2 linked regions of the Oryctolagus cuniculus genome follow. The protein of the gene in region 2 interacts with the protein of the main gene of each other region in a pairwise test. Links are inferred from orthologs where the notes say so. Each region holds a gene or a part of one and is shown on either strand. Other genes may lie near its edges.

Evidence for each region. The genes of interacting proteins can lie anywhere in the genome.
Region 1: the proteins of HTT (region 2) and JAKMIP1 interact in binary tests that used the Homo sapiens proteins (3 or more experiments, as listed by UniProt). The link is inferred for Oryctolagus cuniculus from reciprocal best matches to the Homo sapiens genes HTT and JAKMIP1.

Annotation. Positions count from the first base shown.
Region 1 is NC_091433.1:3,640,835-3,647,917, forward strand, and holds the start of JAKMIP1 (janus kinase and microtubule-interacting protein 1), read left to right. Parts: upstream 1-2,632; 5' UTR 2,633-2,921; intron 2,922-3,400; exon of another isoform or gene 3,401-3,532; intron 3,533-7,083. UniProt on the Homo sapiens protein: Associates with microtubules and may play a role in the microtubule-dependent transport of the GABA-B receptor. May play a role in JAK1 signaling and regulate microtubule cytoskeleton rearrangements.
Region 2 is NC_091433.1:1,727,090-1,734,009, forward strand, and holds the start of HTT (huntingtin), read left to right. Parts: upstream 1-2,500; 5' UTR 2,501-2,650; coding exon 2,651-2,877; intron 2,878-3,440; exon of another isoform or gene 3,441-3,553; intron 3,554-6,920.

The sequences.
Region 1 (7,083 bases), about 1.9 Mb from region 2:
AGGCGCTCTGATACAGGCCGGCAGCACCCCGAGCGGTCACTTCACCCGATGCCACCCCATCTGCGTTTCTCGTGTGCTTCCCCGGGGCCGGGATGGCACCGAGGTCTAGGAAGCGCTGGTCCAGTCACCTCCGCTGGAAACAGTCCAGTCTCCAGTCACCACGACAATGAGCAAAATCACAGGGAGAACACTGCCTCCTCCTGGACTTGGCAATGCTTGTGAGGTCTGTCAGCCCGAAGCATCGCAAATGCGCCCTGCATTGGTGATCGTACGTGTTCCCTCTTGCAGCAGATTTTGTATTCGCCATTTTTTATTCTGAAGGAGGTCCCTCCACTGTGGAAGCTTCAGGTCCTACGAGCCCTGGGCCATGGATCGCCGTCTGTCCCCGGTCCCCTCTTCCTCTTTTCTGCATGAATGGACCTCGTTTTATTTCAGGCACCAATGTGTACTCTCTGAGTGGCTTTTTTTTTTTTTTTCTTTTAAATTTGCTGCCTCCTCCTAAGCCAGGGCTGGCCTGTGACACTGTTCTGGCCAATGAGACAAAGGCAGCTGGAGACTTTCCAGGTAGCAGTCAGAGGACACTCACTCAGCCGGGGAGTGTCTTTTGCCCTTTCCTCTCCTTGACTGGAACAGTGATGGGATAGAGGGGCAGAGGCAGCTGTACTGTTACCATGAGGACAGCAGGAAGAAGTTAATCACAGGCTGAGGAGGATGGATAAAGTGAGGGGCGGCCTGCGAGTGGGCTTCTGGTTAGGTGAGAAAAAAAATTTAAAGCATTTAAGCTGCTGTATAGCGATCAGGATTACTGTAGTCAAACACAATCCTTCACCGATACACCTGTATGGAAACACACAGGCGGAGTGCTTTAAGCAACAGCCAGCCGCTGTTTCGGCTCTGTCAGCTAGAGGCCAGGGTCACCAGCAGGTGCTGGGATGGACGAGCCCCAGCGCTGGCTGCTGCTGGACATCCCAGGCCCCTCCCAGGTTAGCCGCCGCCCTCAGGGCTGCAGGTGTCTGTGTCCAGCTTCCCCCGGGGACAAGGACGCCCGTCAGAGACTGGCCTGGGGCCCGACCCACTGCACCAGGGCTCATCTGATGAATGACATCTGCGGGCACTGAGAACCCTTGGGGGGGGGGGGCTCTCACACACACCGGTGCTCGGGAGGTCGCAACTCAGCCCCTGCCACCTGGCTGCGTCCCCGATGCCGCCTTCTCGCCCAAGCCCGAGCCATGAGCAAGGCCCCCCAGCTGCACCCCCTGGGCCTCCCGGTCCCCCTCTTCCCCTCTCACCAGAGTGGGCCCTCCGCTCCCCCAGCTCCCTCAGCCCATCCCCCACGGCAGCCGGGGCATCCTTACCCAGCGTCTCGGTCAGCGCGCGCGCGCGCGCGCGGGGGGGGGGCTGCCTGTCCCCTCCCGTCTGACGAGCTGCAGCCGAGGACAGGGGCCGGGCTCTCAGGGTGGACGCTTTAGACGCCACGGGGGCAGGCGTTTGGTCTGGCAACGGGACCCCCACATCCCATCCCAGGGTGCCGATTCCAGCTTCCTGCTCATGCGCACCCTGGCGGGGGGGGGGCAGGTGACGTCCAAGTCCTTGGGTCCCTGCCACCCACACGGGAGACCTGGATGGGGTTCCTGGCAGTTGGGGGTATCTGGGGAGTGACCCAGTGAACAGGAGGTCTCTCTCTCTTTTAAATGGAATGAATGAATGGATGAATGGATACACGCACCCTCCACACTGCTGGCCGGACCGTGGGCGCTCAGCCCGCAGCCCCGGTTCCTGACGGACAGCTCTGCGCGTGCGGGGAGGCCCGGGTGTGACTGTCACCGCCCCCGCACACACCGCGAATCCCAGCTGGCACCCTGAGCCCGCGCCGGGCCCTGGACCACCGCCCAGGCCGTGCGTCCCCCGTGTCAACGCCAGCCTCGGGATTCCCACGGCCCAGGGGGCCTGCCCGCCCCCGCCCCGCTCTTTCTCAAGGTCTCAAACGCGCCCCCTCCCCGCATTCAAACTGCGTCCTGCACGCCGTTCCCTCCCGCTTCCTCGCCAGAGGGCAAGAGCCGCGCGGGCCGCGGCCGGGCCGGAGCCCTGGGGCGCTGCAGGTGCTCACGGGGACCTGCCGGCCGCCCCGGCCACACGCACGCGCGCCCGGCCAGGCCCACCTCCTCCCGCAGCCTCCGCGGTTCTCGGCCCGTGGCCAGCCCCGGGATGCAGACGCCCGGCGCAGGCGTGGACTCCGCCACCCGCCTCACCTCCGCCACCTTTAACCTCTGACCTTCAGACTGCTCCTCGGCACAGAGGGGGAACCGGCACCGCGGTCGCCGGCCTCCCCGCTCCCCCGGCACACGCGCGGGCGCCCTGCGGGCAGGGACAGCTCCCGACACGGCCAGCCCAGACCCCAGCCTGCAAGGCCCTCCCCTCCCCATCACCGGGGGCTGCTCGCCGGCGGACGCGGGCGGACTGGGGGCCGCGGGCGCAGTGCGCACGCTCGGGCCGCCCGCGCCCCCTTCTCGCAGGCAGAGCCGCTCCCGGCGCCGGCCTCGGGCGGGGCGGGGCGGCCCTCCCTGACTGGCGGGAGGCCGGGCCAATCGGAGGGGCGCCCCGGGGGTGGGGCGGGGCCTGCCTGGAGCCGGGCGCCGGGGCCGCGGGAGCTGCAGCCGCGAGCGTGCGGCACGCGCCGGGCGCCCGCGCCGAGCTCGGTCCCGGGGCCGCGGCGCTCGACCCCCGTCCCGCCGAGCCCGGCCCCCTCCGTTGCTTTCCCACGGTTTTCCGCATCCATTCATTCATTTCTGCTCCGTCTCGTCCCTCCTAAGGGGGCGGCGGCGTGAGCTCGGGGCGGGGAGGGGGCGGCCGGAGGATGCGGCGCGGGACTGCGCCCGCCACGCCCGCTGCTGCCGCCCGGCTCGGGCCCGAGCGCCGAGCAGGTGGGTACAGGTGCGCCGGGGGGCGGGGGGCGCGCCCGGGCCGGAGAGGACCGCAGAGCGGGGGTGGCGAGGGGGCCGCGGCGACCCCGGCCGCCCCCGCCCCCTTCGTGTCTGACAGCCGTCGCGTCCCCTCTGATCCACCCATCCCGGTGTCCGCCTCCCCTTCCCATCCCCCACCCCCGCGCGTCGTCGACGCCCCCTCCCTTCCCGCCCCCAGCCCCCTCCTCACCCCGCCCAGCCTCCACTCTGCTCCCCGTTGCCCCCCCCCCCCGGGCCCCGCGGCGGCAGGGGACCCCGCCCGTGGCTCCCGGGAGTGGCGCGGGGGTGTGGCCGGCCGGCCGGGCGCGCCGAGTCCCGGGACCCCGCCGCGGTGGCCCCCAGGGCGGAGGCCAGCGCTGCGCGGTGCCGGCGGGGGTCGGCAGGGCGAGGCTGCGGGCGGTCCCCCGCACCTCCCCGCGCTGCTCCGCCCACGTGCGCGCCGGGGCGGAGGCCGGCGCGGCGCGAAGAAAGGCGGGTGCCCACCTCCCTGCGGCGCCTTGCCGTGCGCCCCGCGTTCGGGCCCGCGGCCTCCCCGCCAGCCATCACCGCTTCCTCCCTGCTGTGTCACCCAGGTAGACGCCCCTCGCCAGGCTGGGGCCTTCCGCGCTGGGAGGACCCCCTTCCCGGTGCGCCGCGGAGCGCCGGGCCGGCCTCGGCCCTGGGCCAGCCTGCGCACTCTCGGCGCGCTGTCCTTGGCCTTTGGTTGCGCCGTTCCCTCTCAGGAACAACCTTTATCTGGGCAGCTCCTCTAGCCCAAGGTCAAGGGGAGCCCTGGCCCTGAGCTTCCCTGTCCGGCAGAGCTGGGTGCGCTGCGTGCTTACCTTGGCAAGGCCTTTGCCTCCGGACCAGAAGAGCAAGCGCGGGGGGTCCTAGCCCTGCATCAGAGGGACCCGCGGAGGTGGGGTGCGGCTGGCCCTGCTCCCTGGGCTGTGGGTTTGCTGAGATGGGCTGAAGGAGGGGTGGTCGGGAGCCCCCCCGTCCCGGCAGGGTCCTGGCCTGGCAGGGTGCAGGGCTCTGGGAAGCCCCATGGTGCACCTCGCACTCCCACTCCCATGCTTTGTCGCGCAGGCTCTTGCACCTGCTTGGCTCAGGGCTGCGGTGACAGTCACCGGGAGAGGGTGACACGGTCCTCCCTCTCACCCCACGGTGGCGCCTACTGCCCCCACACCTCGATGCTGGCTTCCTGCCCCTCCCCCGCCCGCCCCGGCCCGCACCTGTCTCAGCCACAGGTGGTGCCTGTGTCCCCTAGGCCGCATCTACACCCCCCCCCCCGTGTGAACTCCTGTTCTCCCGTGGGGCCCGTTCTCCATGTCTTCTCTGCTGGCCGGCTGTCTCTCTGCACCCTCAGAACCTTGCACATAAACACAGCACACTGCGCGCTGTTCCCTTAAGCAGGTCTTGCCCACCCAGACAGGGCCACCTTAAGCAGGTCTTGCCCACCCAGACAGGGCCACCGTGAGGTCTGAGAAACGGCCCCACGTGGCTGGGGCTCTGTCTTCCTGGGGAAGTGGTCACGCCGGCCCCACCACTGCCGGAGGCTCCCCTCGGCCTGCCCAGGGGAGGTGGCGGGCTCGAGCCCTGCTCTCTGGGTGTGCAGGGGCGTTGTGGCGCTGGGGGCGCGTGGTGGAGACACCATTTCCAAGGCTAACTGGCCAGCAGCCCCTGGCTGCTCTGCAGGCTCTGAGCCACCCTACCTGGGCTCCTGTGTGGACCCTGACCCTCCACCCTCACTGGGCAGGTGCCGCCACCTGGGCTTTCCCACTAATGTGGGCGCCCCGTGGGAGAGATTGGGGGTCACTGGGCACACCCCAGTTCTCCGGGGACCCAGCCCGCTGGGCTTCTGAAGCCGTACTCCCTGGGTCCTGTCCCTTCCGTCTGTGTTGTCGTGGTTAGGAGGGTTGGCCTCTCAGCCTCCACTTCCTGTGGGCGTGGGGGCCGTGGTGTCTCTGGCCGGGCCGCCTGCGTGGCGGTCACAGGTGAGGTCCCTGAGCTGTGAGAAGCTGAGCTTTAGCCTTGTCTAGATGGATGCCCGGGTCGGAGGCCTTTTTTGTCCTTTCTGGTTCACAGTGGGGCAGTCACCATCGTTGATGTCACAGGCAGGGTGACTGAGCAGTGTGGGGCCGGGTGGGCTGGAGGCGCTGGCTCTGTGACCCTGGGCGAGTCCCTTGGCCTCTCTGCTCAGCTCCTGCTGTCTGCACACTGGGGATGGGTCACAGGAGAGTGGCTGTTGTTGCTGGCCTCCCACGCCTGCTGTGGATGGCACCTGGCAAGGGGGGGTGCTGTCGGAGTGGGGGGTGGCACACCCTGCACGTGCTGCCCCTGAGGCTCGCCGACCCCTGCCGTGGAGCAGTGAGCTTCCTGCAGGACCCCTGTGAGGAAGTCCCCAGGGGCCCCCGGTGCTCTCCGCGGAAGCCCGGGACGGGCACAGCTGTCATAGAGGCTCAGAGCAGGGCCCCGGCGCTGGCCGGCGGTGGGGCCTTGGGGCCCGGGCTCTTACCCTGCGAGCCTTCAGAAAGTGTTTCTTTTGTTGTGCTTTTCCAAGGCCAAGTGCACAAGTGCAGGGATGGGGGATAGCAGGGTGGGGCTGCCGTGGGAGGAGATGCGAAGGGGCAGATTCCAGGGACCCAGTCAGTAGGAGAGGGCAGGTGGTAACCCGCTCCCCGCGGCTGGGAGGAGGAGCCGGGCAGGGTAGGGTGGGGGTCCGGCAAGGTGGGGTGGGGCCTCTGCTCTTGCCTCAGCCTTGGTGTTTGCTTCACTGTCTTATATGTCTGTAGAAGGAAAGCGACGTAAGTGCACTCTCTTGGTTGTAACGGTTGGCGTTTTGTGAAGCACTTACCAAGTGCCAGGGGCTTTTATAAATAAAGTTTTATTGGAACACAGCCGTGCCTGTTTGGGTGCTGTGGTCTGTGGCAGGATCAGGCGTTGTGGCAGACACCTGCCGAGCCAAACCCTCTGTCCCCTCTGTCCCCTCTGTCATGAGCTCATTGAGTCCCGGAGGAGGTGCACCTGCACTTCCTGTTTATGGGTGGGCACAGGGAGGCTGTGAAGCCTGCCTGGGGCCACACAGCCTGGAATTTCCAGAGCGGGAATCGAAGCCAAGAAGTTCACTTTTATTTCCCTGGGAGGTTTATATTTTTATTAGCATCTGATTGAATTTTACTGTGTTCGTAGGATGTGGTGTGTATATCTGTTGTCAAAAATTGTTGACAAGTCCTTCACCACCTAGCACTGGCAATGAGATGTTTTATTTAAGATGTATACAGTGGATTTTTAACGGTGGCTCAGATATCGACTCTAAGTGTCCCGTTCAAGGGCATTAGTATCTTCATATTGTCGGGCAAGCGGCCCCAGCCCTGCCTCTGGAACTTCTCCACCGTCCCAAACCAGAGGCCGTGTCCTCAGCTCAGCACCCCATGCCGTCTGGTGGGCGTTTCCTAGAGCAGACGCCAGCGACCGTGTGGTTTGGCGGGGCAGCTTGGACGTCAGCCTTGGCTCTGAATGTCGCCTCTGCTGATCGCCACCTGATCTCGTCCCAGAACCCTGCGTGCCTCAGTTTCCTTGTTTGGGGTGTGAGGTTGACCCCGAGCCCCGTCCCTGGAACTCACTTGGCTGTGAGGATGTGGGAGCACAGGGGGCAGCGGCTACTGTCGTGCAGTGGGCAGTCCCTCGGGCAGCCACACGCAGTCTGCTGCTGGGTTAGCTGGCTCCGCTCTGTGTGGCCCAAGGAAGCGTCCTTGGGACCCGTGGCGCCCTGCAGCTGCTGGCCTGGCTGTGGAGGCTCTGGACACTGTGCCGGTGTGGGCAGCCTGCTCTTCTCGCTCCTGGGGCCTGAGGTGGCTCGAGGGCCACTTCCGGGCATGAAAGGGTCCTGTGTGCCCCTCATGGGTACGGCCGGGGGAGCTCGTTGTGGCAGTAATGCTCAGGCCTGTGCCAGGCCGGGGGGACGCCTGGCCAGGCTCGCTGGTCTCAGGGATGCTCTCTGCATTTTGGGTGTGAAGGTTGGGCCTGGCCCCAGTCCCTTCCTCAGGGCTGGAGGGGGTGTCCCACTTCCTGTGAGGACTATGAGTCGCTGACGTGGAGGTGAGGAGTGGCGGGGGCATAGCTTTCCACTTCTTGGAGCCTG
Region 2 (6,920 bases):
TTCACGTCCACCCAGCATCTATATTGGTCCCTGTGCTGCTGTAAAACGTGGCCGCCCTCGCCCGTTTCCCTGGCAGCGTCCCTGCTGCCCAGGGACTGCGCCCAGCGGCGAGGCGTTGGAGACACGATGCCCGCGGAATTAATCTTTTTTTTTTTTTTTTTTTGGACAGGCAGAGTGGACAGAGAGAGAGAGAGAGAGAGAGAAAGGTCTTCCTTTTGCTGTTGGTTCGCCCTCCAATGGCCGCCCCAGCCGGCGAACCGCGCTGATCCGAAGGCAGGAGCCAGGTACTTCTCCTGGTCTCCCATGAGGTGCAGGGCCCAAGCACCTGGGCCATCCTCCACTGCACTCCCGGGCCACAGCAGAGAGCTGGCCTGGAAGAGGGGCAACTGGGACAGAATCCGGTGCCCCGACCGGGACTAGAACCCGGTGTTTCGGGGCCGCAGGCGGAGGATTAGCCTAGTGAGCCGCGGCGCCGGCCCCGCGGTATTAATCTTTAATTACTCTGTTTGGAATATGCCAGGAGTGGAGCTGGGTTTCCAGGCCAGGCGCCTGACGGGAGCTCGGGGCTTCCCGGCAGGGCCCACGCGCTAGTGCGTTTCCCGAGGCTTCCTGGCAGGACCCCACAGTGCGTTCCGGGCAGAGGCAGGCAGCCGGGGCACCTGGGCTCCCGGTCCTACCGGCTGCGCCGTCCCAGGCAGCGGGCGGGCGAACCCCTCCCCTTTCAGGGGACTTCCAGGAGGGGCGCTCATACTGGGCAAGCTGCCCAACAGAGCTGGGCGGCTGTTCGCACGCAGCCTCGGGGGGTGGGAGGTCCCCAGGGGGTCCCGATCCCCTGTGACTAGCGTCTGCACAGGAAGCAGTGGGCACACAGACCAGAGGGCGGCCCCGGGCCTGGGCAGTGAGGATCCATGGCCGCGGTTTAAGGCCCACCCCCCCAGGCCAGCGAACTCAACACGTGTGCACCACACGTCACTGCACAACACAAAGGCACAACACGCGTGGATGACAGCGCTCACCGGCCTGAGCGGGGAGGAGCCCCCTCCTGGCCGCCAGGCTCCCTCGGCGCTGGGCCGGCTGCACCTGCGGCCCTGTACGCGCCCACCTCCCTCTGCTCGCTCACGGGGTGCCCCGGACCCCTCGGCGACAGCCTGAACGCCCCCGGGCATGAGGGGGCGCCCCACGCCTTTGCTGAGCGTCTGCGCCCCCTGGGGCCGCTCCCCTTCGCAGGGAGACCCCAGTAGGCTCAGCCCCGACCTGCCGGCGTCTGCAGCTCTACGTCGGGGAGGGGCTCTTCCCTCGTGGGGTCTTCCCGGTCGCGGTTCGCCGACACCAGCCCTGCACCTGTTCCAGCCCCCATGGTTCGTTCCCGCTAGCCCCGCCCCCAAGCCTGCCCCTTCCCCTCCTCTATAGCCACCCTTCGCCCCGCCCACTCCCCGCCCCTTCAGGGCCCGCCCCTCAGATTGGTTCCTCGCCCCGCCCCCTCTGGACCCGCCCCACCGCTCTCCGCCCCGCCCCCTCGCCTGCCCCTTCCCCGTTCCCTAAGCCACCCTTCGCCCCGCCCCCTAGAGCCGCTCCTCGCCCCGCCCCCTCTGGACCCGCCCCACCGCTCTCCGCCCCGCCCTCTCGCCTGCCCCTTCCCGTTCCCTAAGCCACCCTTCGCCCCGCCCCCTAGAGCCGCTCCTCTCCTCGTCCCCTCTGGGCCCGCTCTCCGCCCTCCTAGACGCTCCTTGCCCCGCCCCCTTGCCTGTTCCTTCCCCGTTCCCCATAGCCACCTTTCGCCCCGCCCATTTCCCCGCCCCTCAGAGTCACTCCTCGCCCCGCCCATTTCCCCGCCCCCTCTGGGCCCGCCCCACCGCTCTCCGCCCCGCCCCCTCGTCTGCCCCTTCCCGGTCCCCTATAGCCACCCTTCGGCCCGCCCCCTAGAGACGCTCCTCGCCCCGCCCCCTCTGGACCCGCCCCACCGCTCTCCGCCCCGCCCCCTCGCCTGCCCCTTCCCCGTTCCCTAAGCCACCCTTCGCCCCGCCCCTTAGAGCCGCTCCTCGCCCCGCCCTCTCCCCGCCCCCTCAGTCACTTTTCGCCCCGCCCTTGCCCCGCCCCTCTGTCACTCCTCGCCCCGCCCTTTCCCCCGCCCCCTCTGGGCCCGCCCCGCAGTCACTCCTCGCCCCGCCCTCTCCCCGCCCCTCTGGGCCCGCCCCTCAGTCACTCTTCGCCCCGCCCTCTCCCCGCCCCTCTGGGCCCGCCCCGCAGCCGCTCCTCGTCCCGCCCTCGTCCCGCCCTCGCCCCGCCCCCTCGCCGTCTTCGCCCTGAGGTAGCGCTGGGTTCTAACTGCAGCGCAGGCTCTGAGGAGCGAAGCTGCCGAGGGCGGAGTGGGGGAGGTACGGGCCGGCGCCTCGGCCGGCCATAGGCAGAGACGGCCGCCTCGGGCTGTCAATCCCGCCGCTTCGGCGTGGTCCTGCCTCCGCCGACGCAGCGTCGCTGGACGCGGGGCGCCGCGGGGGCTGCCGGGACGGGCCCAAGATGGCCGGGCGCGCTGGTTCCGCTTCTGCCCCCGGCCGCGAACCTCATTCATTGCCTCGCTGCTGAGGGGCGCCGCGTCGCCGCGAGCCGGCCCGAGGCCGCTGGGGGCTGCCCTGCGGGGTGAGAGGCCGCCATGGCGACCCTGGAAAAGCTGATGAAGGCCTTCGAGTCCCTCAAGTCTTTCCAGCAGCAGCAGCAGCAGCCGCCGCCAGCGCCGCCGGCGCCTCAGCCGTCTCAGCCGCCGCCGCCGCCGCCCGCGCAGCCGCCGCCGCCGCCGCCGCCCGCGCAGCAGCCGCCCCCGCTGCCGTCCCCGCCGCCGCCTCCCGGCCCGGCGATGGCCGAGGAGCCGCCGCACCGACCGTGAGTCCGGGGGCAGCGGCGGGGGCGCCGGCCGCTCGGGGCGGAGGGTCGGGAGCACGGTGCGGCCACGGGCCGGCGGGAGGGGAGGTGCCGGGCCCGGCGCGGGAGGCCGTGCGGGCGCGGGTGACGTCATGCTGCTGGGCCGGCGGGGCCGCGCGGGCGGGGGAGCCTCGGCGACTGCGGCCGCGGCCCCGCGGGCTCGCGTGGGCGCCGCGTTCCGAGCGCGGCCTGAGCGACAGGCCTGTCTGCGACCCCGCGTTGGCCCGCGCGCGGGACCCCGCGGCCAGCGCGGTGCTGGACACGGCGCGGTGCGATGCGCGAGACGCGCGCTCCCGCGGCGCCGGCCGGGGCGCGGGGTGCCCGCCGCAGGGGCGCCCGGGGGCTTCGCTGCTGCCAGCCCCTTACCCTGCTGGGCCTGGGGAGGGGGTTCTGAGGCAGAAACAGGAAAGCAAGTCCCCGAGCAGGCTGGGGAGTGCGGGCTTTCCCGACGGGCGGTGTGGACGGCAGGCGCGCCCCGGGGCGCCCGTGTGTCGGGCGGGCCGCCCTGCAGCCCCTCTCCCGGTCTCCGTGTCTGCTGCGCTGGCCTTGTCCTGAGCGTTCAGTACGGGAAGCGGGCTCCGGGGAGCAGTGCGGGCTCGTTTGAGAATCAAGCTCGGGAATCCCGTTCGTTGTAAAGGTAAAAACAGGTACTCCCCGGCACTCGCTCCGCGGCTCTGCCCTGCTCCTCTCCGGCTTATTCGCCGTCAGGAAGTCTTTCCTGTGTGCTTGGCCGGCACCGTGCAGGCGCGGGCCCAGCCGGGACGGAGCTCCGCTCCCCCGGGCTCTCGCGTGGGGCCGACGTAGGGAAGCCGGACGCCGAGGTCGGTGTGCGCTCTGGCAGCCGGAAGTGCAGGGAGGGACGGCGACTGTCGGGCTGGAAGGCGTTGACGTTTGCCTGGGGTGGCCGGGGGCCGCGCTGGCCTCTGAGGTGAGGCCTGCAGAGCGAGCAGGGCCCGGCGCGAGGCCGCGGAGCGGGGCGTTCCGGGCGGGAGGGAAGGTCAGAGGGCGAGGGAGGGCCATCGGGGGATCCGCCTTCTCGCAGGGAAGCCGCTGGGGTGTTAGAGCCGAGGCCTGGCGCGACCAAGCCCCGCTGGGAAATGAACTTTGTTGACATGCACGTGAAGGGGCACACGGGCGGGAAAAGGACCTGGCTGGAAGTCTGCACGCCAGCTGGGCCCGCGTGGTTCTGGCTGGCAGTGCGCCTGGGCGAGACCCAGCAGCATTGTTGATCTCTGCTTGCCGTAATGAGTTTAGCTCTGGTTGGTGTTACCACTTAGGGTTGTATCCCGCTGCAGTGGCCTAAGTTAATACGTTTATTGTAAGAAAAAATGAGTTGGGTGGAGGCTCTGCCTCCTGTGTCAGAGTGCACTTCCTGCTAGGCGAGGTCCCGGGAAGCCGTGCGATCGCCCAAGGGCCCGGGTTCTGGGCAGGAGACTGCAGCTTCACTCCTTTTGAGTTCCTCCTGCCTGCCTTCGGCCCTTATGCACTTGGGGGTAACCAGTGGATGAGAGGCTCTGTCTCTTTCTCTGAGGAGGTCAGTGGGGAGGTTGGGGAGCTAGGCTTTTTCTTAACTCTTGTCGCCATTTTTTAGTATTTACATATTTTTATTGCTGAATTACAAAAGTTCTTTATATATTCTGGATACTAGTAAACCCATACAAGATAGATGATCTGTAAAAACTTTTTTGAAAGGCAGAGACAGAGAACTTCCGTATGCTGGTTCACTCCCCAAATGTCCAGAAGGCTGGAGCTGGGCCAGGCTGAAGCCAGGAGCTTCTTCCAGGTCTCCCACATGGGTGCAGGGCCCAAGGACTTGGGCCATCCTCTGCTGCTTTCCCAGGCCATAGCAGAGAGCTGGACCAGAAATGGAGCAGCCGGGTCTTGAACTAGTGCTCATGTGGGATACTGGCACTGCAGGTGGTGGCTTTACCCACTGTCATCCAGCCAGTATAGACATTTTAATGATATTGATTCTTCTGATCCATGAGCAAGATTTATCTTTCCATTGTTTTGTGATGAATAGACTTTTATGTCAGTGATTGAATGTAATATTTCAGGCTCTGTGGGCAAACTGTTGCAGTTCCTCCAGTGTGCCACCGTAGCAGGCAACGGCCACAGATAGTACCTGATGAACTGGCTGTGTCCAGTCAGGTTTACAGATAACAGTGACATCTGAATTTCATGTAATTTTCACATAGCATGAAATATTATTATTTGATTTTAGGGAGGTGTTGTAAACTTACATTTAAAAAAGTAAAAACATTTGTTAGCTTGTAGGCTGGCCAAAAACAGGTAGCAGTTTACCCTTCCTATATTAAAATATGGTAATATTTTGGCCGGCGCCGCGGCTCACTAGGCTAATCTTCCGCCTAGCGGCGCCGGCACACCGGGTTCTAGTCCCGGTCGGGGCGCCGGATTCTGTCCCGGTTGCCCCTCTTCCAGGCCAGCTCTCTGCTGTGGCCAGGGAGTGCAGTGGAGGATGGCCCAGGTGCTTGGGCCCTGCACCCCATGGGAGACCAGGAAAAGCACCTGGCTCCTGGCTCCTGCCAGGATCAGCGCGGTGCGCCGGCCGCGGCGGCCATTGGAGGGTGAACCAACGGCAAAGGAAGACCTTTCTCTCTGTCTCTCTCTCTCACTGTCCACTCTGCCTGTCAAAAAATAAAAAATAAAAAAAAAAGAAAAAAATATGGTAATATTTTAGGACTCATTTTTTTAAAGGTTTATTTATTTATTTATTTGAAAAGCAGAGCAGGGGCTGACGCTGTGGCTGAGCAGGTAAAGCCGCTGCCTGTGGTGCCAGTATCACATGTGGGTGCTGGTTCAAGTCCCAGCTGCTCCACTTCTGATCCAGCTCTCTGCTCATGCACCTGGGAAAGCAGCGAGGATGGCCCAAGTCCTTGTCCCCTGCACCCGTGTGGGAGACCGGGAAGAAGCTCCTGGCTCCTGGCTTCGGGTCAGCACAGCTGTGGCTGTTGCAACCAATTGGGGAGTGACCCAGCAGATAGAAAACCTCTCTCTCTCTGCCTCTTCTTCTTTCTCTGTATAACTCTGACTGTTCTACTTATTTTTATGCTTCCATCTGTCTAAAGACATTTTAGTAAAAAAAAATTAGTACAACATAACTGATATTTCAGTGTCCTCCCTGGGTTAGGTGGTTCCTTACATCTGCTGAAGAATTTCAGTGCGCAGCATTCTGTGTGACCTCCACATCATTTGCTGTTGTGAGCATTGCAGGATATTGTGCTTAAATGACACGGATTCTGATAGCCGAAGTATTAATGTGTGTATGCACAGAATAGTTCTGACTGAGCTGGTATCCCCATCTTTATTTTAAAAATCTTCCTGAAAAGTCCTAATTGTCTGGGACACTCTCACACAGCATAGAGCCTGGTCGGAGTCCTAGAGCTGCTGCAGAGGACCCTGAGGCCCTGCCCGGCCCCTCACAGTCCTCCCTCTGCAGGCCGCGCAGCCCTGGGCCTCGCTGCACCCGCGCTCAGGTGTGAGGGTGCCCGTGAGGCCCACCGTGGGGAGAGGCCGAGGAGTGGGTGTTTCAGATTTCTCGGGAGTCCAACCTGGAATCATATTTTTATGCATAATCCTTTTTAAAAGATTTGTTTATTTATTTGAAGGTCAAGAGATAGAGGGAGAGACAGACACACTCAGAGAGAGAGAGAGAGAGATCTTCCATCTGCTGGTCGATTCTCCAGTTGGCTGCAATCACCAGGGTGGAGCCAGGCTGAAGCCAGGAGCTTCTTCCAGGTCTCCCGCACAGGCGCACAGGCCCAAGCACGTGGGCCGTCTACTGCTGCTTTTCCAAGGCCACGAATGGGGAGCTGGATTGGAAATGGAGCCGCGGGGACTTGAACCGGCACCCAAGTGGGATGTTGGCTCACAGGTGGCGACTTCACCCAACTGTGCCACAGTGCCGGCCCCGCGTAATCGTCACCTGACTCTGAAAGTGAGAATTTAGATGAGGGGTCTGAGTTCCCATTTTTGGAGTTAGT